Mytilus edulis: one gene and its partners. The protein of the gene in region 1 binds, or shares a complex with, the protein of each later gene. Links are inferred from orthologs where the notes say so. Each region holds a gene or a part of one and is shown on either strand. Other genes may lie near its edges. The genes, in order: nucleoporin p58/p45-like, nuclear pore glycoprotein p62-like and nuclear pore complex protein Nup93-like.

What was found.
Region 2: nucleoporin p58/p45-like (region 1) and nuclear pore glycoprotein p62-like share a complex: the UniProt entries of both Homo sapiens proteins name them as parts of the p62 complex. The link is inferred for Mytilus edulis from reciprocal best matches to the Homo sapiens genes NUP58 and NUP62.
Region 3: nucleoporin p58/p45-like (region 1) and nuclear pore complex protein Nup93-like share a complex: the UniProt entries of both Homo sapiens proteins name them as parts of the p62 complex. The link is inferred for Mytilus edulis from reciprocal best matches to the Homo sapiens genes NUP58 and NUP93.

What each region holds. Positions count from the first base shown.
Region 1 is NC_092351.1:34,502,235-34,510,320, forward strand, and holds the start of nucleoporin p58/p45-like, read left to right. Parts: upstream 1-4,983; 5' UTR 4,984-5,201; intron 5,202-7,356; 5' UTR 7,357-7,369; coding exon 7,370-7,385; intron 7,386-8,086. UniProt on the Homo sapiens protein: Component of the nuclear pore complex, a complex required for the trafficking across the nuclear membrane.
Region 2 is NC_092344.1:96,295,796-96,303,355, forward strand, and holds the start of nuclear pore glycoprotein p62-like, read left to right. Parts: upstream 1-4,463; 5' UTR 4,464-4,562; exon of another isoform or gene 4,563-4,956; intron 4,957-7,382; coding exon of another isoform or gene 7,383-7,560. Other genes in the region: small ribosomal subunit protein bS21m-like, read right to left, coding at 1,331-1,508, 4,352-4,440; uncharacterized protein, read right to left, coding at 7,383-7,560. UniProt on the Homo sapiens protein: Essential component of the nuclear pore complex. The N-terminal is probably involved in nucleocytoplasmic transport.
Region 3 is NC_092348.1:93,170,494-93,178,597, forward strand, and holds the start of nuclear pore complex protein Nup93-like, read left to right. Parts: upstream 1-4,995; 5' UTR 4,996-5,109; intron 5,110-8,104. Other genes in the region: tRNA-dihydrouridine(20) synthase [NAD(P)+]-like, read right to left, coding at 1-30, 411-527. UniProt on the Homo sapiens protein: Plays a role in the nuclear pore complex (NPC) assembly and/or maintenance. May anchor nucleoporins, but not NUP153 and TPR, to the NPC. During renal development, regulates podocyte migration and proliferation through SMAD4 signaling.

The DNA of each region.
Region 1 (8,086 bases):
TGTAAAATATATGTTCCAATAGACGTAGAATGTATTGAAAAGCTTTAAAACACACTGAAAATCCTTTAAATAAGGTCAAAAACACATAATTCGCTATATGGGACATGACCTTGACCTTTGACCTTTTGACCTTTGTCAAGGTCATTAGTCCCTAATGTCATTGCTGAAGACCCCATGGGTCTAGGACCTTTGGTTATATAGTAAAAGCTGATTTTGTCTTTTCAGAAACCTAAAACAGGGGTTATGCCCCTTATAAAAAGGTCAAATCTCTTTGGTCAAAATGTAACAAAGTTGCGCCGTAATGACCCAAACATTTTCCACTATTTAAAACTTCTGTAAGTATAATGGTTTCTGAGATTATCCCATAACAAGGTGTTAGGTCAAAGGTCAAGGTCAACATACAAATTTGACCTTCAGGTATTTTTCAAAGATACATGAATTGATGATGATTGGTGAAGATCCTAGGTGTCTACGACTTACAGTTTCTGAGTTTTGGTGGCCAACCGACACCGGTTAATTTTCATAGGGGCATAACCCTACCAATGAGTCGTTGAATCTTTTCGATCCAAATGTAACGAAGAACCGGGGTCTGGTCCTGAACAAATTTCACCCTTTGTTTCTTTTCTACCTATTACGGTTACGGTGTTGGAACGATAACAATGGTTTTGGGTTTCGGAGGGATTACTCCGAACCGACAAAATATTTCGACTCACAGGGTGAGTTCAGGATAGGTATTCATGACACCGATACAAAGTGTGAATATGAAAGCGACACATCTTACGGTTAACGCGGATAAATTTGTCAAAGTTTGGCGGAACAAAAAGAATAATTAAACTGTCAATTGTTCTTGAACAATTGAGAGGTCTTTCCTTTTTTAATGTAAAATACATGTTCCAACAGACGTAGAATGTATTGAAAAGGTCAAGGTCAACCTTAAAAAGCTCGAAAACACACTAAAAATCCTTTATATAAGGTTAAAAACACTAAATTCGCTATCTGGTACATGACCTTGACCTTTGACCTTTTGACCTTTGTCAAGGTCATTGGTCCCCAATGCCATTACTGAAGACCTTAAGGGTCTAGGACCTTTGGTTATATAGTAAAAGCTGATTTTGTCTTTTCAAAAACCTAAAACAGGGGTTATGCCCCTTATAGAAAGGTCAAATCTCTTTGGTCAAAATGTAACAAAGTTGCGCCATAATGACCCAAACATTTTCCACCATTTAAAACTTCTGTAAGTATAATGGTTTTTGAGATTATCCCATAACAAGGTGTTAGGTCAAAGGTCAAGGTCAACATACAAATATGACCTTGAGGTATTTTTTAAAGATACATGAAATGATGATGATTGGTGAAGATCCTATGTGTCTACGACTTACGGTTTCTGAGTTTTGGTGGCCAACCGACACCGGTTAATTTTCATAGGGGCATAACCCTACCAATGAGTCGTTGAATCTTTTCGATCCAAATGTAACGAAGAACCGGGGTCTGGTCCTGAACAAATTTCACCCTTCATTTTTTTTCTACCTATTACGGTTACGGTGTTGGAACGATAACAAGGTTTTTGGGTTTCGGAGGGATTACTCCGAACCGACAAAATATTTCGACTCACAGGGTGAGTTCCGGATAGGTATTCATGACACCGATACAAAGTGTGAACATGAAAGCGACACGTCTTACGGTTACGGAGGGAAATTTTGTCAAAGTTTGGCGGAACAAGAAGAATAATAATCAGAAGAAATACAGTAAGGTCTTTCCCTTTAGTAAAAGGAAAGACCTTAATAATAGTCAGAAGAAATACAGTAAGGTCTTTCCCTTTAGTAAAAGGAAAGACCTTAATTAAAAAGTTATACAATGAAACATACTGACCTTGCAATGATTTTCTCGATAACACCTGATTAACAGACTTTAGCCAACCCGATTAACAGACCAACCGCCGATATAGCCGCATACTCAATATAGATTAACCGACCAAACTCTCGGTTAGCCGAGTGTCGGCCGTGAACAGGGACTTGTAATAAAGTCCATGTTGACAACGAGGGTCGATCGAGAACAAATATTTACGACTAAAGAGATAGTTTCAGCTTTCTACCACTTGAACTTTCCATTTCTATGTAGCAACATCGCAGCAGCGCTGCCATATGAGTTATCGGTATATATCTGATTCTCCCAGTTGAAACGATAGTCCAGAGCTTACATTTCGTGTTAAATTTTCTTGATAGAGGGTTCCTGTCTGCCCTCAACGAAGCTTTTAAACCAAGAGTTCTAAGTGAAGTTGAAATCATACAGAGTTTCGAAAACTTTAGAACACCATCACACATCCGATCAAAATTATGGAATATCTGAATTACAGATAACAACAGAAATGTTCCAATTGTCATTATAATCTCATCTTATTTTCCTCGAATATAATCTTTGCATTCGTAAATTGCAACCTCAGCTTATCAACAGATTATCAAAAGATTATCGTCATTGCGAGCATTAAAGCCAACGTCCTAAAGTGTGCCTCACTATAAATCAGGACAAAGCTGGGCCAATGATTTTCGTTTATTGTTTTTGTATAAATTAGACTAGAGATTTTCTTCTTAAGAGTTTTTTTTTCGTATGTCATATGTTGAGAGCCTTTTATCGATAACCTTATGTAAACGGGTTTGTATGAGGCGCGGAGTATAAAGTCAAAACTATTTCTATTAGAAAAATGTATGGCTAAATATTTCAAGACATTTTGACATCAATTTTTAAAGGAATTCTTGACATCGTTTCAAAGATATCCCCCTTAAATCGAATTATGGAGGTCCTGAAATATTTAAAGATATCCTAAAATCGAATAGTGAACCTCGTGAATCATTTCTGGAGTTTCATACTGTTGTAGTCTTTTTTCACTGAAATTCTTAATAAAAATGAATGAATGTATTTTACAAATTCCCTGAATTTAATCAGTGAATCTGTAAAAAAGATCTTAATTATTTCAGTGATTTTGTAAAATCATTAGTCAAAATCAGGGATTTTATAAAATCATTAATCAGTTCAGTGATTTTACAAATTCCCTGAAATTTCAGGGATTTTACAAAATCACTGATTTCACAAATTCCCTGTAACATATACATACATCAATTTTGATTAAAACCGTCCCTCAAGTCTCATAGTTTTGCTCATTGATATGAAGCTAGGGACATCTTATATATGTTATAAGTTGTTAAACATTCTTTGTTTTAGATAAATCAGGTGCTTTTTGTGGTCCTTTTGAAGTTTCGATTAGTTGACAGTTTTTACTTTTCAACTCTTTCCACTACACTTCCACACAATCTTATCAAACAAAGGTTTTCCTATTTAGTTACAAATATATTTGCTTCAACTCAGCAAAATGAATTGAGTGTGTAGGTAAAGATAATATCATTGGTTATATATATATTGTGTGCTTGCTAGCTGAGCCGTGAAGTCCGTGGCATTATTAGGTTATGTATACTACCCTCCTTTATGATTAGTCTAGTCCGACAGGTAACTAATATATCTGTCTGTAAGACTAGACTACTCCGAAAGGAGCTAGGCAGAATACTATAGTAGCTAACTTTATAATAAGTTTACGGTTCAGTTAACAAGCAAGCTAGCCAAATGTATACCCTTTACCTACACACTCAAATCATTTTGCTGTAAAGCCTTCTTTTCTTTGCATTTTTGCACCTGTCCCAATTTAGGAGCCTCTGTTAGTCTTAGTTCATTTATATGTTTTGGAGTTTAGTGTGACGTCCATTTTCACTGACCTAGTATGCACAATTTTATTTAGGGGCTAGATGAGGATTACCTCCGAGTGCGGTATTTTCTTGCTGCGTTTAAGACCCATTGGTTGCCTTCGGCTGATGTCTGCTCTTTGGTCGGGTCGTTGTCTCTGATATTAACCCATTTCCATTCTCAATTTTATTCCCTAATGAGAAAGGTAAATATGTTAGATATACTTATTGGGTGTGTGATTAGATTGTAGCTGACAATTTTTCCATGCAAATATTAATGTACGTTTCGGCATCAAAGGTTACATATCGACGAGTTGGTAGGTATTCCTATGGGGACCAATGGCGCCCCTAATATCAGACTTGTACTGCCATGAATCACAGTTTATGACCAGTCTAACTTGCATTTAATTGATATATATTCAACAACACTTACGGTTATCTTGATGTGTTTTCTAAATATACGGCTGAAATTTACCCAAAGGAAATAACTTTCACTTGAAATAAATAAAATATAAACGGTTAAAACTGTCCTTACCTGGATTTTAGATATGTTCGTTCTACACGGGAAACTATACACTAAAATTTACGACAAGAGGGATGATTTTTTTGGGTCCTTTTTGTCAACTTTCATTGACAATTCTTCCATAAAATGCAAGCAATTTTTTTTCAATATAGAAATAATTTAAAAAAGAATTTACGGAAACTACTAAATACAATACAATACACAATACAATACAATACAATACAATACAATACAATACAATGCAATACAATACAATGCAATGCAATGCAATGCAATACAATGCAATGCATTAATGCAATGCAATGCAATGCAATGCAATGCAATGCAATGCAATACAATACAATACAATACAATACAATACAATACAATACAATACAATACAATACAATACAATACAATACAATACAATACAATACAATACAATACAATACAATACAATACAATACAATACAATACAATACAATACAATACAATACAATACAATACAATACAATACAATACAATACAATACAATACAATACATGCTAAACATGAAAAAGACAAACAGACAAACAATAGTACACATGACACAACATATAAAACTAAAGAATAAGCAACACGAACTCCACCATAAACTGGGGGTGATCTCAGGTGTAAAATGTATTCTGTATTCTGTAAAATGTTGCACAATATTCCGGAAAAGTATCCCAACTTATCCTGGTTTCATCTAATATTACTATTGTTACTAGTTCCCTGTCCAAAATTTTCAATAATACCTTGCTCAACGAAAGTGTCGATTAATTAAGGAATCAGTCGACAGAATTTCGAAAGGCATGAGATGAGAAAAATAATATAATTTTGGTGGGAAATTCTGTAGTGATTGTATGATCTGAAGATATTAGAAATATATAAGAAGTTATATATATGCAGTCCATATCTTTGCAACCTAAATAATTGGAAAGTTTACTTGTGTATGTACATGTAGTTCGTGCTAGCAAAAATTTATCCAGCTTTCGTTTTTAGCTGTGCAACTTTTACAGGCACTTGTTTCTATCCATAAATTTGGAAGACCCACTACCAACGTATATTTAGCGAGTAAATCACAACTTTCCCGAGATTGTATAAGGAAACAATTGAATGATAATATAATTTCTGTGTATAGTATTTTGGTAATGTCTGGCATGTAAATAAGTTCTGTCCATGCACTTACATTTATCTCTGGGTAGATCACAAGATCTGTTGCTGTGTTTAAAAGAAAAGAATCCTTACACCTCTGGAGCACCCAACATCATACCCCGCCCCTGTGTTCATGGTGTTTGGTTGGATTTGTGTTGTCCAGTCTTTAGTTTTCTGTGAACTGTTGTATCTCTTTGTTGTTTTTCATTTTATGTCATGGCATTGTCAGTTTGTTTACTACTTTGAGTTTGAATGCACATTTCAGTATCTTCAACATCTCTTACAAATGAAACAACAATCAGAAATTAACTTTTTTCGTTCTCCTTAATTATTAATAAAAATATTTAATTCTTCAAACTAGACAAAGTTTGGGATAAGAATATTATATTTAATTACATGAGATGAAAAATCATGTACATGTATACATGAAATTTTATCTGCAAATTTGACAATTTTAGAAAACTAATACACCTTATCACTTTTCAGAATGACCATAAAATCTGTCTTGCTTGAACTATTGACATCTTACAACAATCACTTTTCCATTGTGGCGTCAGATATTTTGTATTAGCCTAGCACGTCAAAATTTTACGTGAACCAGAGGGATGTCCGGTATTGGAGGACAAATAGCGATAAGGTGTATTTGAATCCATAACTTCGAACAACTGAATAGATTTCGATGTAACATTCAAATAGTTATACATGTCACATGAATAAAATTATTTTTATATTTATCTGATTTTTTTTTTGGTGGTTTCCCATTGCATATCATGCATATTGTGGAATTTGAATTAGCAGGCACAGAAGAATGATCAAAATTGTAGTATGAATTATGAGCTCTGCTTTCAGTTTTTGTCTCACCTGGAACAGAAATAGAAACCTTAAAGTGAGGATTACAATTAGACAGTGAGGACAGCATACACTATAAACCTTCATGTCTTGTATGCAGATGCCTTATGTTACAAAGTTTGTGTATATATCCTATGTCCTTGACCTCATTTTCATTGTTAAGTGACTGTCATGTGAATTTCTTACTTATCATGAGTAAAAGGAAAACTATATTTGGTATGGTTTCCTTGCAAGGTCTACATGTCAGTTAGTCCACCTGCCCCCTTCTTTATTCAACCCCTCAAATATCAAATTAAGTTTTTCGTGGTCACATCCATATCCCAATCAGATACTGTAAGCAATAGATCAGCAAATTTTATATGGAATGATTGTAAAACATGTCTGACTGGCAGGTTTCATTTGACCTTGACCTCATTTTAATGCTTCTTTAGTCTATGTTATTTTTTATGATTTGGTTTATTTACTAGAAACTACATTTATAAGCTATTATATATCACCTATATTTAGTATAGATAATGATTGAATAATTGTAAGGTGTATACTGTATGTTCAACTGACAGGGTTCATTTGACCGTGACCTCATTTTTATGGTGCATGCCATTGCACTCAAAGCTAGGTCTTGTATTTTGGTCTGTTTTTTTCAAGTACTATACTCAATAGGACACCAATATTTGGTTATATTTTAATTGATTGTCAGGTGTACATATCTGTCATAGAGAGTTCACCTGACCTTGACCTTAGTTTCATGGTTCATTAGTCAACTGCATTTGGTGTATAGAAGGATTGCATGGTGAACATGGTGTCTGGTACGTTTCATCTGACCTTGATCTCATTTCCATTTGTAATGTTCATGCAAAACTTTTATAAATTCGTTCAATATCAATTCGTTTGTGATAAGTAAAACAGGCTAGATATTGCAGCATTGTTCACTCTTGTTCTTGTTTTTTTAAAGAGGTCTGAAAGAAGTTTGACTTTAGTATTAACATGATTAACATTCATGTCATTAGCCATTAATTAAATGAGTGACTAACAGTTGTATATGCATGCAATGAGAAGATGAGAAACATTAATGTTGAAAATATAATGTTGTCTTTATTACAGGTAAATTCCAGACATGGCTAACCAACCAGGTATATTATTTTAATATTATTTAAAAAAAGAAATATACTGGTAAAATATTTTTGACATGACAAAGAATTGAAAAGTCATAAACATGATATTGCTGAAAAAAATAAGTACATTGTATCTGACAGTGTGAAAACTACAAAAGTTGCTTCAGTTTTTGTCTCGATAAATTCATTGACAAAGTCAGACTAAAGTTGCTGTTTCCAGCATCATCGGCAATGTGTTAGTTTGAAGTTTAATCATGTTGATTTTAATTGTCAGAATTGTGAAATCGCCATTACCAAAAATGACTAGTCCTTGAATTCATTAGAAAAATTCTTATTGAGAATTCGAACCCCATTTCCTTAAAATGTATTATTAATAGTAAAATAGGAAAAGAAAATATGGTATGATTGACAATGAAACAGCTCTTCAAAATAGACCAAATTTAAATGAAACAGGAATGATCAACTGCATGTCTAGGTCAATGTTTTGTCCAGTTCAATTTAACTAAAACGAAAGCCTATGATGTAGGGTTCAGACTCTACGAAACAATTGTATATCAAGTTAGTGTGATGAATTCTTTTCGTGGACAAGGGAGTCACAAATTAAAATTATAAAAGAAATATGATGTTATAGAATACTGTGGATTTATTATTATTTGTTGGATACCAATTTTCGTGGGTTTCATTGGTACAGGTGAACCATCAATTTAAATGTTAAACCA
Region 2 (7,560 bases), on another chromosome or scaffold:
TTGTAAATTGTAGTCTCTATGTCTCCCAGTCACAGGCAATCTATGTCTCCCAGTCACAGGCAATCTATGTCTCCCAGTCACAGGCAATCTATGTCTCCCAGTCACAGGCAATCTATGTCTCCCAGTCACAGGCAATCTATGTCTCCCAGTCACAGGCAATCTATGTATCCCAGTCACAGGCAAGAAAAAAATTAACAGACGACGACAGATGCCAAGTGATGAGAAAACCTCACTTACAGAATGGAATAGGGATGACTACGGCTCAGCTGCTCGTGAACAAAACATAACTTTTACTGTCCATTTAGCTGGTCTACTACCATACCCTATCCCTGAATCAAATTGTAATATGCTAGTAACTGAAATACTCTAAATCAAAGATCTTAGTAATATTAACTTAGACTTTTTAGCAGAGTTTAATTTGATGTCGTAGATGCACTCATATCCTACATACATCCATATTGTATGTCCAGATCTAACCATATACAAAGTTTCATATAGATATAAGAACCATCATTGTAGGGAAGAGAATGAGATCTTAACCACATGCACATCTACACATTAAGATCTAATAATGTATCCATTTCCATGTAGATATTATAAACCATGATGGAAAAGTTGTTGAGTTTATAGGTAATGGACTGGGTCAAAATATTGTCATTGCAAAGAGACATCTCTAGAAAAACTAAATAGACAGAGCATCCTACCATCATAAGTATATAAAGATTTAACAATATAACAAGTTATGTGTAGATATTATTATACATATACCTGTTGGTGGTGTTGCAATCGTAATGTCAGGGGAAAAAGTTGAAAGGGCCATAACTCCTAAAAACCTCAATGGATAGGAAAATACTACCCACATGCACATCTCTATATACATGATATAAAGATCTAACAAATAATTAGTTTTCATGTAGACATAATAAACCATGCAGGAGTTGCTATGCCAATTTTCTGTCTGAAAAGGGGCATAATTCTAGGGAAACTAAACAGAATTGACAATCTTTTACCTGTTGATACATTGTTTTTGCATATCATAATAAATTATTCTAAAAAGTTAGAAGTGAATCAAAGGTCATAGAAGTTGGTCTGGACAAACAAACAGACAGACAAGCTGATTTCCATCAACCAATCCAATCTTTGTATAATAAATCTCTCAGTACAGACTGTTGGAGGAGGGGGGGATTTTTTTTTTAAATATTATGCAAATGATGAACTTTATTTGTCACAACTGTTTATTTTCTATATAATTTACATTCCATCTGAAAAAATGTTTTGGAAGTATGTCACTTATGAGGAGCAGAATACACATAATGTATTTTAATATTCATCATCCTATCCATGGACTTTCTCTGTTGACTTTCATCACAAATTCTATTTTTCTTTGCATGTCAGCATTGTATATCCTCTTGCATCTTTCATAACTAATACGTCTCCTCATTGTGGTTGGTTTTTCATAATATTTCTTTCTCCTAACTTGGTCAACAATTCCATCATTTCTCATAAATCTGGAAAAAAAAGTGTTTAAATTTTTATTACAGAGACTAGTTTAAAATTGAAATTATAGAATATTTATTCAAGTAATTTGCACTTACATAACTAGTCTAAGTTATTAACAGGTTTATATACTCACATAATACATTTGTCAAGGTTTGGTATTTGTTTATATAAAAAAGAAGAAAATGTGGTATGATTGCCAATGAGACAACTCTGCACAAGAGACAAAATGATACAGAAATTAACAACTAACGGTAACAGTACAGCATTCAACAATGAGCATTACCCTGCTTGGATGGCACCATTCTGGTATACATAGATAATAGCCTGTTAGTAACTTTAATTGATCATACCATCAGTCCATCACTGTCTGATACCATGTATATGTGATCCAAACATAATAATGAATTCTTGCTTGAAATTCAAATTCAAATCTTAGAAAATAGAGTTCTACTTTTTTTTATTTTGGGATTAAATTTTTATAGAGTACTTGAAAGAACATTATACTTTCAGAATGACGCATTTTCTTTAACATTAATTATTTAAACTTCTGTTGTGTACAGATAAACTTTCCAGTGATCAAAACTATAAAGTAAAAGGAATCATCTTATCTAAATAAAAATAGTGCTAAATCCCAAATATATTCGTGTGGCTGTTCTAAGTTTCTGGTTGTTTTTCTTTGAAACTAATATTCCTGGTTTTGTGCTAATTTGAAGTTATTGAAGGGCAGATGTTTGATATGTCACTCTGATCATATTATCCGCAACATTTTTATACGACCGCAAAAATTAAAAAAAATTTTGGTCATATATTGGTATGACTTTGGCGTCGTCGTCTGAAGACATTTGGTTTTCGCACTATAACTTTAGTATAAGTAAATAGAAATCTATGAAATTTAAACACAAGGTTTATGACCACAAAAGGAAGATTGGGATTGATTTTGGGAGTTTTGGTCCCAACAGTTTAGAAATTAGGGGCCCAAATAAGCATTTTCTTGTTTTTTGAACAATAACTTTAGTATAAGTAAATAGAAATCTATGAAATTTAAACACAAGGTTTATGACCACAAAAGGTTGGAATTGATTTTGGTAGTTTTGGTCCCAACAGTTTAGGAATTAGGGGCCAAAAGGGTCCAAAATTAACTTTGTGTTTGATTTCATCAAAAATTATTGGGGTTCTTTGATATATGCCAAATCTAACCATGTATTTAGATTCTTATTTTTTGGTCCCGTTTTCAAATTGGTCTACATTAAGGTCCAAAGGGTCCAAAATAAAACTTATTTAGATTTTTCACAAAAATTGAATTGTTGGGATTCTTTGATATGCTGAATCTAAACATGTACATAGATTTTTTTTATTATGGGCCCAGTTTTCAAGTTGTTCCAAATCGGGGTCCAAAATTAATCTTGTTTGATTTCAACAAAAATTGAATATATGGGGTTCTTCAATAAGCTGAATCTAACCATGTATTTAGATGTTTAATATTTGGGCCAGTTTATCAAATTGGTACACATTGAGGTCTAAAGGGTCCAAAATTGAATTCTTGGGGTTCTTTGATATGCTGAATCTAACCATGTTTTCAGATTTTGGATATTGGACCATAATAGGTAAATGTCCAATTTAAAAAATTTAAGTTTTTAAGTTTCTCTTAGACCACATTCATTCTGTGTCAGAAACCTATGTTGTATCAACTATTTAATCACAATCCAAATTCAGAACTGTATCAAGCTTGAATGTTGTGTCCATACTTGCCCCAACTGTTCAGGGTTTCGACCTCTGCTGTCGTATAAAGCTACGCCCTGTAGAGCATCTGGTTATACCTAGGTGCCTATTTGGACCATGATATATTGTATAAGACACCTTATGTTCATGTTCATAAATTTTATATGTACATTTTGTAACTTTTCATATGGTTGATTCTCAGTATTTTTAAAATTTGATTCAATATCCCAAACTTCACTTCCATATACATGATATTCATGTAATAAAATTGGGAGTACCATTGTATCAAAAAGTTTTTCTAAAATTCTACATGAATTGTTAAGACTTAGAGATTTCTGTATTTTGAATAGAGCTTTTTTAGCTTTTACTATCAATAAATTAGAGGCAAGCTGCAAGGTTAATAAATTTAATGATAGATCATGAACAGCACATGCTGCTACACTGCAGAGGTTACTCCAGTATTAGAGAGACTTTTGTATTAAAAATGTTCAAAATTACAGGAAAAAATATAACCACATTGTGCGATAAAAATAAAATAAATCTTATACTTTATAATATATCACTAATATACGGCACTTAATTAACTATCTTCCTCTTTCTTACTAGTAATTATCTATTGCAATAGATTTTCATTATACCTTTAATGTTTTATTCACATATAATGTTTGTAATTTACTACATGTACCATGTATATACCTTATCGCTAATCCCGGCTGACCCGGCCGCTTGAACTTTTGACGCATACAACAATCACTTTTCCATTGTGGCGTCAGATATTTGTTTTATGATGTCAAAATTTTACGGGAACCTGTGTGATATCCAGCAATGGCGGAAAAATAGCGATAAGGTGTATTGTAAATAGTTTATCCATTGGGTCATTACCATCATGATTATGAAACAGGTAAAACTTGAAACATTTTCTGTTTTAAAAGGAAAATAATGTTATTTTATCATAAATTTTATACGGAAATAATTTCCCAATTTGGGTGAAAATTCCCAATTTTGATAGAAAAGGGACCCATTTGAAAATACCTGGAATCATACCCGAAGATACATTTCTCAAGGACGTACTACGATTTATGATTGTCAATCTTTAAAAAAAAAGACCATGTAAGTAATTATAATATAATACCTCATCAATGCATTGTGGGCTTGTTCTACGTTATTTTTGTGAACAAAAACGGTTCTTGCCAAGAATTTTGCATTTCTATGGCATGACATTTTGTCAATGAATGGTCTCCCTTGTTCTATGGTCACTTATGCGTTTAAAGTAACGCGATTTGCATTAGAAATGTAAGAACATTTGTACACCGATTAAGATTTCGAGCCAAATCAAAAAGAAAGTATGAAAATAGCATGTTTTGCTTTCCTTTACAGAAAAGGAAGGCTTTTAATTTAAAAGTGTAGAAAAGAGTTGGAATACAATGAATGAACATACGTCTTCGTCCCCTGCGATTTTGAGGATTTTTCACTACACATAATTTATTTAAAACATTTTTTTTAGACGAGGAACAAATTATCTTTCTGTTTGCCACTTGCTATTTGTTTTTAATTAGTATTCTTCTACTTATACATTGTAATGACCACCTTCAACACGTTGAAATTTATTATTATATTGATATTTTGGGAGGCGACTTTCCTGATATGGAACTTGCGCCCTATTTACACTTATCGTGATTGTTTTTTGGAGAAAAAAGAAAAAAAAAGTCTTAGTGTTTCGTGTTTTGTTTACTACACGTGAGTTCTTAAGTTGTGAGGTTTTTTTTCAAAGTCTTTAATGTATTGTGGTTTTACTTTTGTAAAAAAATGTTTATTTTGTCGTTCTTGCTTTTGTTTCGTTGCATTGCTAATTACATAGTTGATTGCTTTGATATATAAGGTAGTAGTTGCTAATAAATATACACAAGTGTATAAATGAATCTTAATGTCCATCGCTGAAGATAGAGATTATATACTGCTTCCCGATAGCCCGGTGTCAATTATTTAATGAAAAATTGCCAAAAATATGTATGCGCCAGAAAAAAAGACTGTCGCATACTTCTGTCACCTACATTGGGGTTAATAAAAGAAACAAAATATTATATATGAAATTCCCACAGATACCAAGAGACCAGTTTGAGTCATGGTCCCTTTGTTCAGTGAGGATTGTCGTGGTCTTTGTATTGACCCCGACTGCCCTCACTGACCATGAGACCACTGAATAATCAATCTGGTAATCAAATTTTGAACTGTATCCCATTATTGACACCGTGACTTCGGGAACACGTTGAAGTATATGTCACTTGTACTTTTATAGCTAATATTTTAATTGTCTATAGTCGAGATTACTCTGACGTCCAACGCCTGTTTTGCCAGACAAGCTGGGGCCGTGGGACGTCAGAGCTCATCCCATATCAAAAAGTCTTATAGATAAACGTCATGTTTTTCCTGTTTAAATGGTTTTGCACAAGTCATTTTGGGGCCCTTTATAGCTTACTGTTCGGTTTGAGCCAATGCTCTGTGTTGAAGACTGTACTTTCCCCTTTTATGGTTTTTCTTTTACAAATTGTGACTTGGATTGAGTGTTGTCTCATTGGCACTCATACATGTACCACATCTTCTTATATCTATGTTCTAGTTCTTTTCTTTTTGTTGAAATAAATCAGAAAGAAGAGAGTATCAGTATTTCTGTGACGTGAATGCCAATTTTCACTTGGGAAAAATACAAATCCTGATAAATAGAGGCTTGTCAGTTTGCCCCACTTATGAAAAATAGAAAAGTCCTTATGAATTAAGTCAATGAAAATCTAGGTTTTATCTTTTTGCATTAAGTGGGGCAATTAACGGGATTTAACCCTTTTCACAAGTGGGACCAGTTTGTAAATCAGTTTGGGTTGATTTTTTTAAAAGTGGGGCGAGTTTGTAAACAATGGGGAGATTTGGTGTGGGGCGATTTGATGTGGGGCGATTAGCAAGATGGGCGATTTGTCCTGCTTCCATCCATACCATCAAAGACAATTACTTCTGAAGCAAAATATACATGTGTTATTTGTAAAAACAACACTTAACCCTATATTTTCATCTAATTGATTACTTCAAGGGTGTTATTCATCTGTCTGTATCGATACAAAAGATAGAAGTCCTGGATAAACACATACCGGTACATGAATTTAAAACTTCCCTATTACTCTATAAAACCCTTAAAAAAATTCTAAAGATAACCCTGAAACGACAGGTACATGTAAGTAATTATGAAAATAACCAAAATAGTATCTAATATGCATGTCATCATTTAAAGCAAGCACTTTACTTTACCTGTTGATAATTAGCAGTTTATCATTATGATTCACATGCAGCAAAATTATAAATCAATATAACAAGGTGACATGATCTTGTATGATCCCAAAATAAATTAATTATTTGAAGATTTCTTGGTAATTCATTGTCATTACCTTGAGGAATCATTTTAGAAATTTGAAAATACAATGTTACATGTACAAATGCATTCTTTAATTGAAAAATCTTTCATGTAATGCACCAGAATATTATTTATAACATCCAATTTTTACTATTTGATAAATGATATTACATCAATAAAGGGTTTATCCCTTATATAAATAGTGATCCTAACTGATGATTGTCTAGGTGGTCATACTTATGGGGGCTTTCTTTTATTATCTTATACTGCAACAATTGTTTTACCGAAATAACCTGGAATTTTTAAAGACAGAAATGAGAATCAGATGCTATGATATCAGTCAATCGGCAAGATTTAACAATTCTCAAAATTCTTTGGCGACTAAAATCACCATTTTGCTGGCTAGATTATGGCCTGCTATCCATAAAAAGGATAGATCAGAAAAAAAATTAGAAGATGTTAAGCAATATATAGTGGTTATCTTAGAGTGGTATAATCAGACTTTTTAGGCACAAATAAGAAATACTAGCTGGTTTTACTTGTATTGATTCTAAACTCCATTTGCACATAAATCTCAACGTCATAAGTAGCATGACGTTACTATACATACATAGCGGTACCGCGAACGTCTAATGAACACAGTCCTGAACATCCTGGGGGGCCGCGAATGAAAATTTAAGCAATAAATAAAGAAAAAACTTTAAAATGAAATAACTATTGTCTCTCAAATGAAATAAAACTTTAACTTTTAACACTTAAACAGTCTCTATGCTTTACGGAACGGTTGAATCCAACTTTTGATTTTCTCCTTGGCATCAGTTTTTGCTTTTCTGGTTGAAGTAATAGTGTTGTCACTTGAATCACACGGACTATCTGTTGATAAGAGTTCAAGTGGATATAGCTTACTTATTGGTCTAGACGTCGTGCCATTTTTAGTGCGTAAA
Region 3 (8,104 bases), on another chromosome or scaffold:
TGAGCTGAGTATTTTGAAATCAATTATTTCCTAAAAATATAGAGTGTATATTTCATGATAAATACAGTTGCAGTGAACTCAATACAATGTCTTGTAGTTTTGGCATCATTGCATAATAATATATATTTATCTAGCATATAGCATCCTTCAATGTAACAAAAAAATTTCATACAACACAAGTTTGTCAGAAAATCAACATCATATTTGAATGTTGTCTTATATTGTGTGTTTCTTGCCTCCCAACTTTATCAATTTTATATTATTTAAGGTAAAATAAGCCATGGTTGAAGAGAGAAAAAAAATGCAAAAAACTGACTCAATTTGAGTTACAAGCTCTCAACTTGGGAGAGGCACATACAGAAGTGTCTGGGTAAAACTGCACTAGATATATAATTATACAACAATTTTACCTCACAGTATACTAAATCTGCGCCATATCTAAGTGACAAAAGTCTAAATGGTAATGTAGATACTCTAACCATAGGAGCCAAAATCACTTTGTGGTGGAAATCTATTTTCTCCGTCATTATCTATCAACACTGAAAAATAGTTCATAGTCATTTTTATATCAACAAAGGTAATCCAATGGGTCCGAGTACACAGTTATTTCGTAGTGCATTTCTTTTAGACAATAAATGAAAATTAAAAAAATCCCACCTGCGCTTTCTCAATTATATTTTTACAGTGTGTTGTACTACTTTTGGGACAAATTATATCAAAATTATAGAAAACTTCATTAGCTCTTACTCAAAATATGGACAATTTTATGTTAAGGGGGTCTTGAAATCTTTTGACAGCTTCCGAAGTGCTAATTTTTGACCTTTTTCAGCTGGACCTAATCACTACTTTACATTAATATTTATTACCCAATTTTTTTTACAGTGTCATTTCACCCCCCAACTTGCTATATGAGGCATAAAACATGGAGAAATAAATTTGGAAGGGGTATAACAAAAATTGGCAAGTAACACACTGTCCACACTAAGGACTATATTCGTGGACAACGAAAATCAAAGGACGATAACTGTGTACTCTGACCTAATAGGATAGAAAAAGTTGACCAATCTTAATAAAACTTGGTATGACTAAAGCTTAATATATTATAAGACTGCTTACAAAGTTTCATAGCAATAGGATATATATTATAGACAATATGATTAATTCTATATTCAACTTTGTGTGTTAAATTTAGACGTTAAAATTGAGAAATTTCAACTATCAACATTTGGGGCTTTTAAAATTTAAATTTGGCAAAAAAATACTTTTAAAATGCCTTAATATATAATATATCATGTATTTAAAGCAATAGAGTACTCATTTGATATATCAGACTTAGCATTATTATTCAAAAGTCAAATTTATATGAGCCTGTGCTTAAAAATAGAGGTTTTCCAATGAAAGGGTGTCTTACATGAAGATGTAATATTTTCCAGCAAATTTAAATTTGTGAAGCTTTTTGATTATAAATAATCCTTACATATCTATTTAATGTACTTTAAATGGAAATAAAACTTACAAATAACATATCATATTAGTTTAAAAGGGTCTTAGGCCAAGTAAGACTAAAAATAATTTAGGGTCAATTTAGGCCGCAGCACATATTTACATTTAAAAGTGCATATTGAAGCTATAGGAAATACAAATTTGTGTCTTTTCTATCATTTCTATACTCAGGTGACATGATACAATAAATCTGAGCACAAAAAGGCTCTTACATTCAACTTTTTAGCAGACAGTATGGTCTGATACAAAGATTTTTCACTTTTTAGTGAAAAACTTGCATGCAATTTTAGTCTCAACAGGCTTATATTTGAACCACATGCTATCCTACAGAAGTAAAGAAAGATATTATGAGAAATGAAACAGGTACAAAGGACATTGTTAAGTGTTTTTTATACAAATTTAGTGAGGTCTTTATTATTGACTTCAACTTTTATGTGCCATGCTCCTCACATTTAACTTGATCCAAACAGGGCGTTAGACGAGGGTCATTTATACAACACATTTTGCTCATACTGTCCAAGATAATCTTCTTTTCTGTAGATTCAGAGTTCACAAATAAGTAATAAAACTGGATTAAAGCATAGAAACACAAAAATTGAGACATGAAAACATGTCAGATAGAAAGTCAGAATGCCACTTATGCATCAAAATTGAAAAAGCTATGAAATGCTTATTTTGACCATATAATGCCAAAATTGGTCATTTTTGCAGAAATTCTATCAAATAAAAGTTTAAATCCTTTAGTTTTAAGCTATTTGACAAATTGACAACATCAAATCATTCAGGGAAGTTGCCAGAGTACAGATTCTATATTTCCTGATTTCACCTCTTAGGTCTGAGTACACAGTTATTTCGTAGTGCATTTCTTTTAGATAATAAATGAAAATTTTAAAAATCCCACCTGCGCTTTCTCAATAATATTTTTACAGTGTGTTGTACTACTTTTGGGACAAATTATATTAAAATTATAGAAAACTTCATCAGCTCTTACTCAAAATATGGACAATTTTATGTTAAGGGGGTCTTGAAATCTTTTGACAGCTTCCGAAGTGCTAATTTTTGACCTTTTTCAGCTGGACCTAATCACTACTTTACATTAATATTTATTACCCAATTTTTTTTACAGTGTCATTTCACCCCCCAACTTGCTATATGAGGCATAAAACATGGAGAAATAAATTTGGAAGGGGTATAACAAAAATTGGCAAGTAACACACTGTCCACACTAAGGACTATATTCGTGGACAACGAAAATCAAAGGACGATAACTGTGTACTCTGACCTAATAGGATAGAAAAAGTTGACCAATTTTAATAAAACTTGGTATGACTAAAGCTTAATATATTATAAGACTGCTTACAAAGTTCATAGCAATAGGATATATATTATAGACAATATGATTAATTCTATATTCAACTTTGTGTGTTAAATTTAGACGTTAAAATTGAGAAATTTCAACTATCAACATTTGGGGCTTTTAAAATTTAAATTTGGCAAAAAAATACTTTTAAAATGCCTTAATATATAATATATCATGTATTTAAAGCAATAGAGTACTCATTTGATATATCAGACTTAGCATTATTATTCAAAAGTCAAATTTATATGAGCCTGTGCTTAAAAATAGAGGTTTTCCAATGAAAGGGTGTCTTACATGAAGATGTAATATTTTTACAGTGTCATTTCACCCCCAACTTGCTATATGAGGCATAAAACATGAAACTGAAATGGAAAAAAAAAATATCTTATCACAATAGTTACTTATCATTATTATATTCTTCTAGATGAAACCCTCTGACAAATTAAGCAAAATAAAGCAAAACAAATACAATTGTGTATAACAATGAATCAGTGATATTGTTTGCCTTAAATTACTGGAGAATAAGGGCTTTTTCCCCTGGTGTAGAATCCCAATTTGGAAAAAAAAATGGCTTAAAATTATTCCCAAAAAGACAACTCTTTTCCCAAATAGTGCAGTCTCAATAGTAATTGTGCATGAATGCAAACTGAAAAACACTCATTTATACATTGTTCATGCCTACAATGACTATATGTGTAGATTTGAGGGTTCATTTATGACTTATCACTGACCATAAGGGGTTTTGTTCCACTTTTGGTCCAAAGAAGCACAGGTACAAAACAAGATTTTGTTAATAAATGTATATATACAGAATACATTATTCACTATTAAATGTGTACTAGATTAGAATTTAGGGGAAAAATCTCTTTTTTATTAAACTTGTATTGTTGATAAAATTATTTACAATTTATCATAATCTTCTTTACTTATTGCCTAAAACACAAAAAAGAGTAAAAACAAAATCAACATGTAAGGGCAATCACTCTTAGGAGTATAGTATACAAACGATTTTGGCGATACACTTATAAAATGTATGTAGACCTTCCCTTGCTAATAATTTTTGTCATTTAAAGAGTTTATCTATCTTATATAGTTTTCAAGTGAACTAGAGAGATGGACCAAAACTGCAAAAGTCACCATGTATCTGTATCTGTATATTTCTCGGAGAGATTTCAAGAGAGACATTCTTTCAGTTTCTAAAGGTGTACATGAAATCAGAAAAAGTGAAATGGTTTCATCCTCTTTGCCACAGACTCTGCAGATGGCAGATACCTCATTTTGAAAAAATTTCACTCCATATATTTGTCTTCAAGACATGCAAGATGAAATTGCCAGTTGCAAATCTGGTCCTAATTGTTAATTTGATTATGTCTCTACAGTTTGATGTATTTGTTGTAAGTATTGGATGTATTCTTTCTGTCTTATATTCACCAGATATGTATTTTAAGCTGGAGTATCTCTCAGAGTCTTTATTAATTTTTTCATTCCAGTAGGTTACTAGGTATGTATAGACGTATTTACACTTGTATGCAAATTTGTCCGCCATTATGTAAAATCACACAGGTTCCCGTAAACTTTGACATCATAATTTAAATTATTTGACGTCACAATTTAAAAGTGATTGTTGCTTGACGTCAAAAGGGTTGAGTTCAATATCGTAGCAGCTACGTAGCAGCTACGTAGCCGCTACGTAGCAGCTATCAATATCTATGTAATAACTAGTATTTAGCTACACGTTCAATAGTCAAAATCTACGTAGCGCTACGTAGCAGCTACGATATTGAACGCAGCCAAGGTGATTCGGAGTAGATCTAAGGTCATTCGGAGGCAAGATTCAGCTAAATACCAAAAGTGTAAATACGTTTATTCATTTGGTGATAAACTTTCCCATTGCTTTGACTTTTTTTGTAGACTATACATGTATGATAAAAATTACATTGGTGGATAACATGGCAATTTAGAAAACTTACCAAGTAACTGATTAATCTAAACAAAAAGCTTTCTCTAAATTGAAAGTACACTTAAAATATTGCAATCCTGGGAAACACCTGACAAAACCTGGGCGCAGACATTTTGGATAAATCAAGGTAAATGAGACGCTTGAATGTAATTCAGTGGATAACTTACGTTTATTAAAACATTTTAATGATCCAATTTCAAATCATTCTTATTTTCCTTTGGCGGTTTTGAACCGGTTGAAGAACATCAACAAGGATTGACAGAATAGGCTTTTGCCATATGAAAAGGTTACTTATTTATGATGAGACAACAAATAGTTTGGTTTTGCCCTGATGTACTGAAGGAAAGCATATGTATCCCTCAAATCTATTGTTATCCTTTTAATAGAATTATTGTAGTTCATGGCAAATGTGGTACCTAGTCCCTGAATAAAAATGACATCTGGCAAGGCTATTATTTTTTTTCTTTCTGGGATGCCTTACCGTTAATATATTTTTTCTGTCATTGCCAATTTTCAAACACAGGTACTAGACTTTCTATCAATAACAAGAACATATAGACCATGGGAAGAAAATAGTTTCAATTTATACGACAATGTCTTTTTTATATACCTTGGCACCAGGGCTTCCAAAACGGTGATATATTCCGGTCAGTTTATAATGTCTGGTAAAAGTCCGGCTGTGCAAAGCATGAAACGGTCATATACTTTTTAGGTTTCAAGGCTTTTTCAGTCATTTTTACATAATTCACGATCTTTTTGAACCAATCTTTTGCCTATAACATCAACACAATAAAAAATTCCGGTCATAAATGTGACATGATGATTAATTACTATCAAAACAACACCTACTTCAATACTTTCTAATTTTAATCAAAGGACATCGTATAAATTGATCGGTTTATTCACAATTATTTTCTTACATTTCAGCGGTTTGTATCTAATTGATTTAGTCCAAAAGATTAAAATTATTAGAAATTAGTTGATCAACATGATTTGATGAAAAATTTAAAAAGGTTTTATATGAAAAATCGTCAGAACTATGTCGTATGAATTAGAACATGTGTGCACAGGTGGAAAAGTTAATAATGCATCCTCATTTCTTCAAAAATGCTAACATTATTATTGATCTAACGTTCATTTCAAGTATTTTGTTGAAGAAATAACGGGGAAAAGAGCTTCTTCTCTCTGTCGTGCTTTGTAAACGTACACAGATTTAAGTATCCCTTTATGGTCCAAGTTTTACCATTGTCAAGTCAACATCCAGTTAGAACAATGTGAAAACGAAAGTAAAGTTTTTGACAATGTCATTTTGCACAAATAAAAAGTCTAAGGCTGATGTGCACACTTTGAATTATGCACTGCCAATTTAACAGTTACACCCGAACATTACGTTCAGGTATTTCCCATCCAATATTTTATGGAAATATTCTTTATAAAGGACAAAAATGTAAGTATTCACCTCAGAAGCTAACAAAACCTTTAAATAGACTTATTAAGAAGGGATATAGTTACGATACTGTTGTCAGGTCATTAAAGATTGCATATTTTGGCGTTAATATTGATTTACTTATAGGGTCTTTGCATCAGAACTAATCACATTAATATTGATAAACCAGTTGTTGGCATGACACGGGTTATGTTCTTCTCATATATGTTATGATGGTATGATACTAAACCCCTCACGGGGAGGATTGTGCCTGATATTCATATGATGAAGACATAATTTTTCAATCAGTTTAATTGAGGTCCGGAGCTGGCATGTCAGTTAACTGCAAATAGTCTGATGTTATTTATGTATTATTGTCATTTTGTTTATTTTCTTTGGTTACATCTTCTGACATCAGACTCGGACTTCTCTTGAACTGAATGTTAATGTACGTATTGTTATGCGTTTACTTTTCTGCATTGGCTAGAGGTATAGGGGGAGGGTTGAGATCTCACAAACATGTTTAATCCCGCCGGATTTTTGCGCCTGTCCCAAGTCAGGAGCCTCTGGCCTTTGTTAGTCTTGTATTATTTTAACTTTTAGTTTCTTGTGTACAATTTGGAGTTTAGTATGGTGTTCATTATCACTGAACCAGTATATATTTGTTTAGGGGCCAGCTGAAGAACGCCTCTGGGTGCGATAATTTCTTGTTGCATTGAAGACCTGTTGGTGACCTTCTGCTGTTGTCTGCTCTATGGTCTGGTTGTTGTCTCTTTGGCACATTCCCCATTTCCATCATCAATTTTATTAAATTCATATCATATCAAAGTAAAGTTTAAATTTTTTTAATGTAATGTCAATCATTGGAATATGGCCATCTGATTACCATAATTGCCTTTTGTGACTAAGTCTTAAGGGATTAAAATTGGGATCAGATATGAAATGTCCGGCTGGCTCAAATATTTTTTGGAAGCCCTGCTTGACACACACATGATATAGTAAGATCCCCACATGTTAGTATGTTGATGGATTTCTGAAATATCGGTCTCTCTAATATGTCACTTTTGGAATTATAATAATAATAATAATAAATTCTTTATTTAAAGAGGGTATACTCAGTTAGTTACAATAAACTAATCTTCCCTGAGGCCCTCACATACAAATGATACAATCAAAACAGATATTTACACATAGTTAATTTACAATCATGTAGTTCAATGTCATTAACATAAGATATAATGCTGTTTAAGATGTATACATGAAACCAAAAAATCAAATGAAAGTAAAAAATATATAAATACATTGTAGCAAACATTTCTTATCAGGGTTGTGTTAGGTACTTCTTGATACTTTGCTTAAAAGTAAAAGTGTTTTGAGCTTTACGCATTTTGTGTGGTAGTCCATTCCATAATACTGATCCAGAATAAGCAAAGGATTACTTAAATAGTTCAGCTTTTGGCTTTGGAACTATCAGATTACCTTGAGCGACACCTCTTAAGCCTAAAGGAGTAAGGATTATTATCTGATTTCAGTTTAAACTTTTGAACTAGGTACATTGGTGCTTCCATATGCATACATTTATATAGAAGTAAATATTTGTGGTATTTTATTCTATTGTCAACTGTCATCAACCCAAGTTTTTTAAATAAGGGGGCTGAGGGGGATAAAGGATCTGCATCTAGAATTAATCTTGCTGCCCTTTTTTGGAGTTTTAAAATTCTTGAAACTTGAAAGCAGGGAGACATTTGTACAGGTGCCCCTTCTATCTGGTAAATAAGATCATAAAGAAGTGTGAAAGTGACAATCTGTTCAGCTGAAAGACTAGGTACATTAGTGCTTCCATATGCATACATTT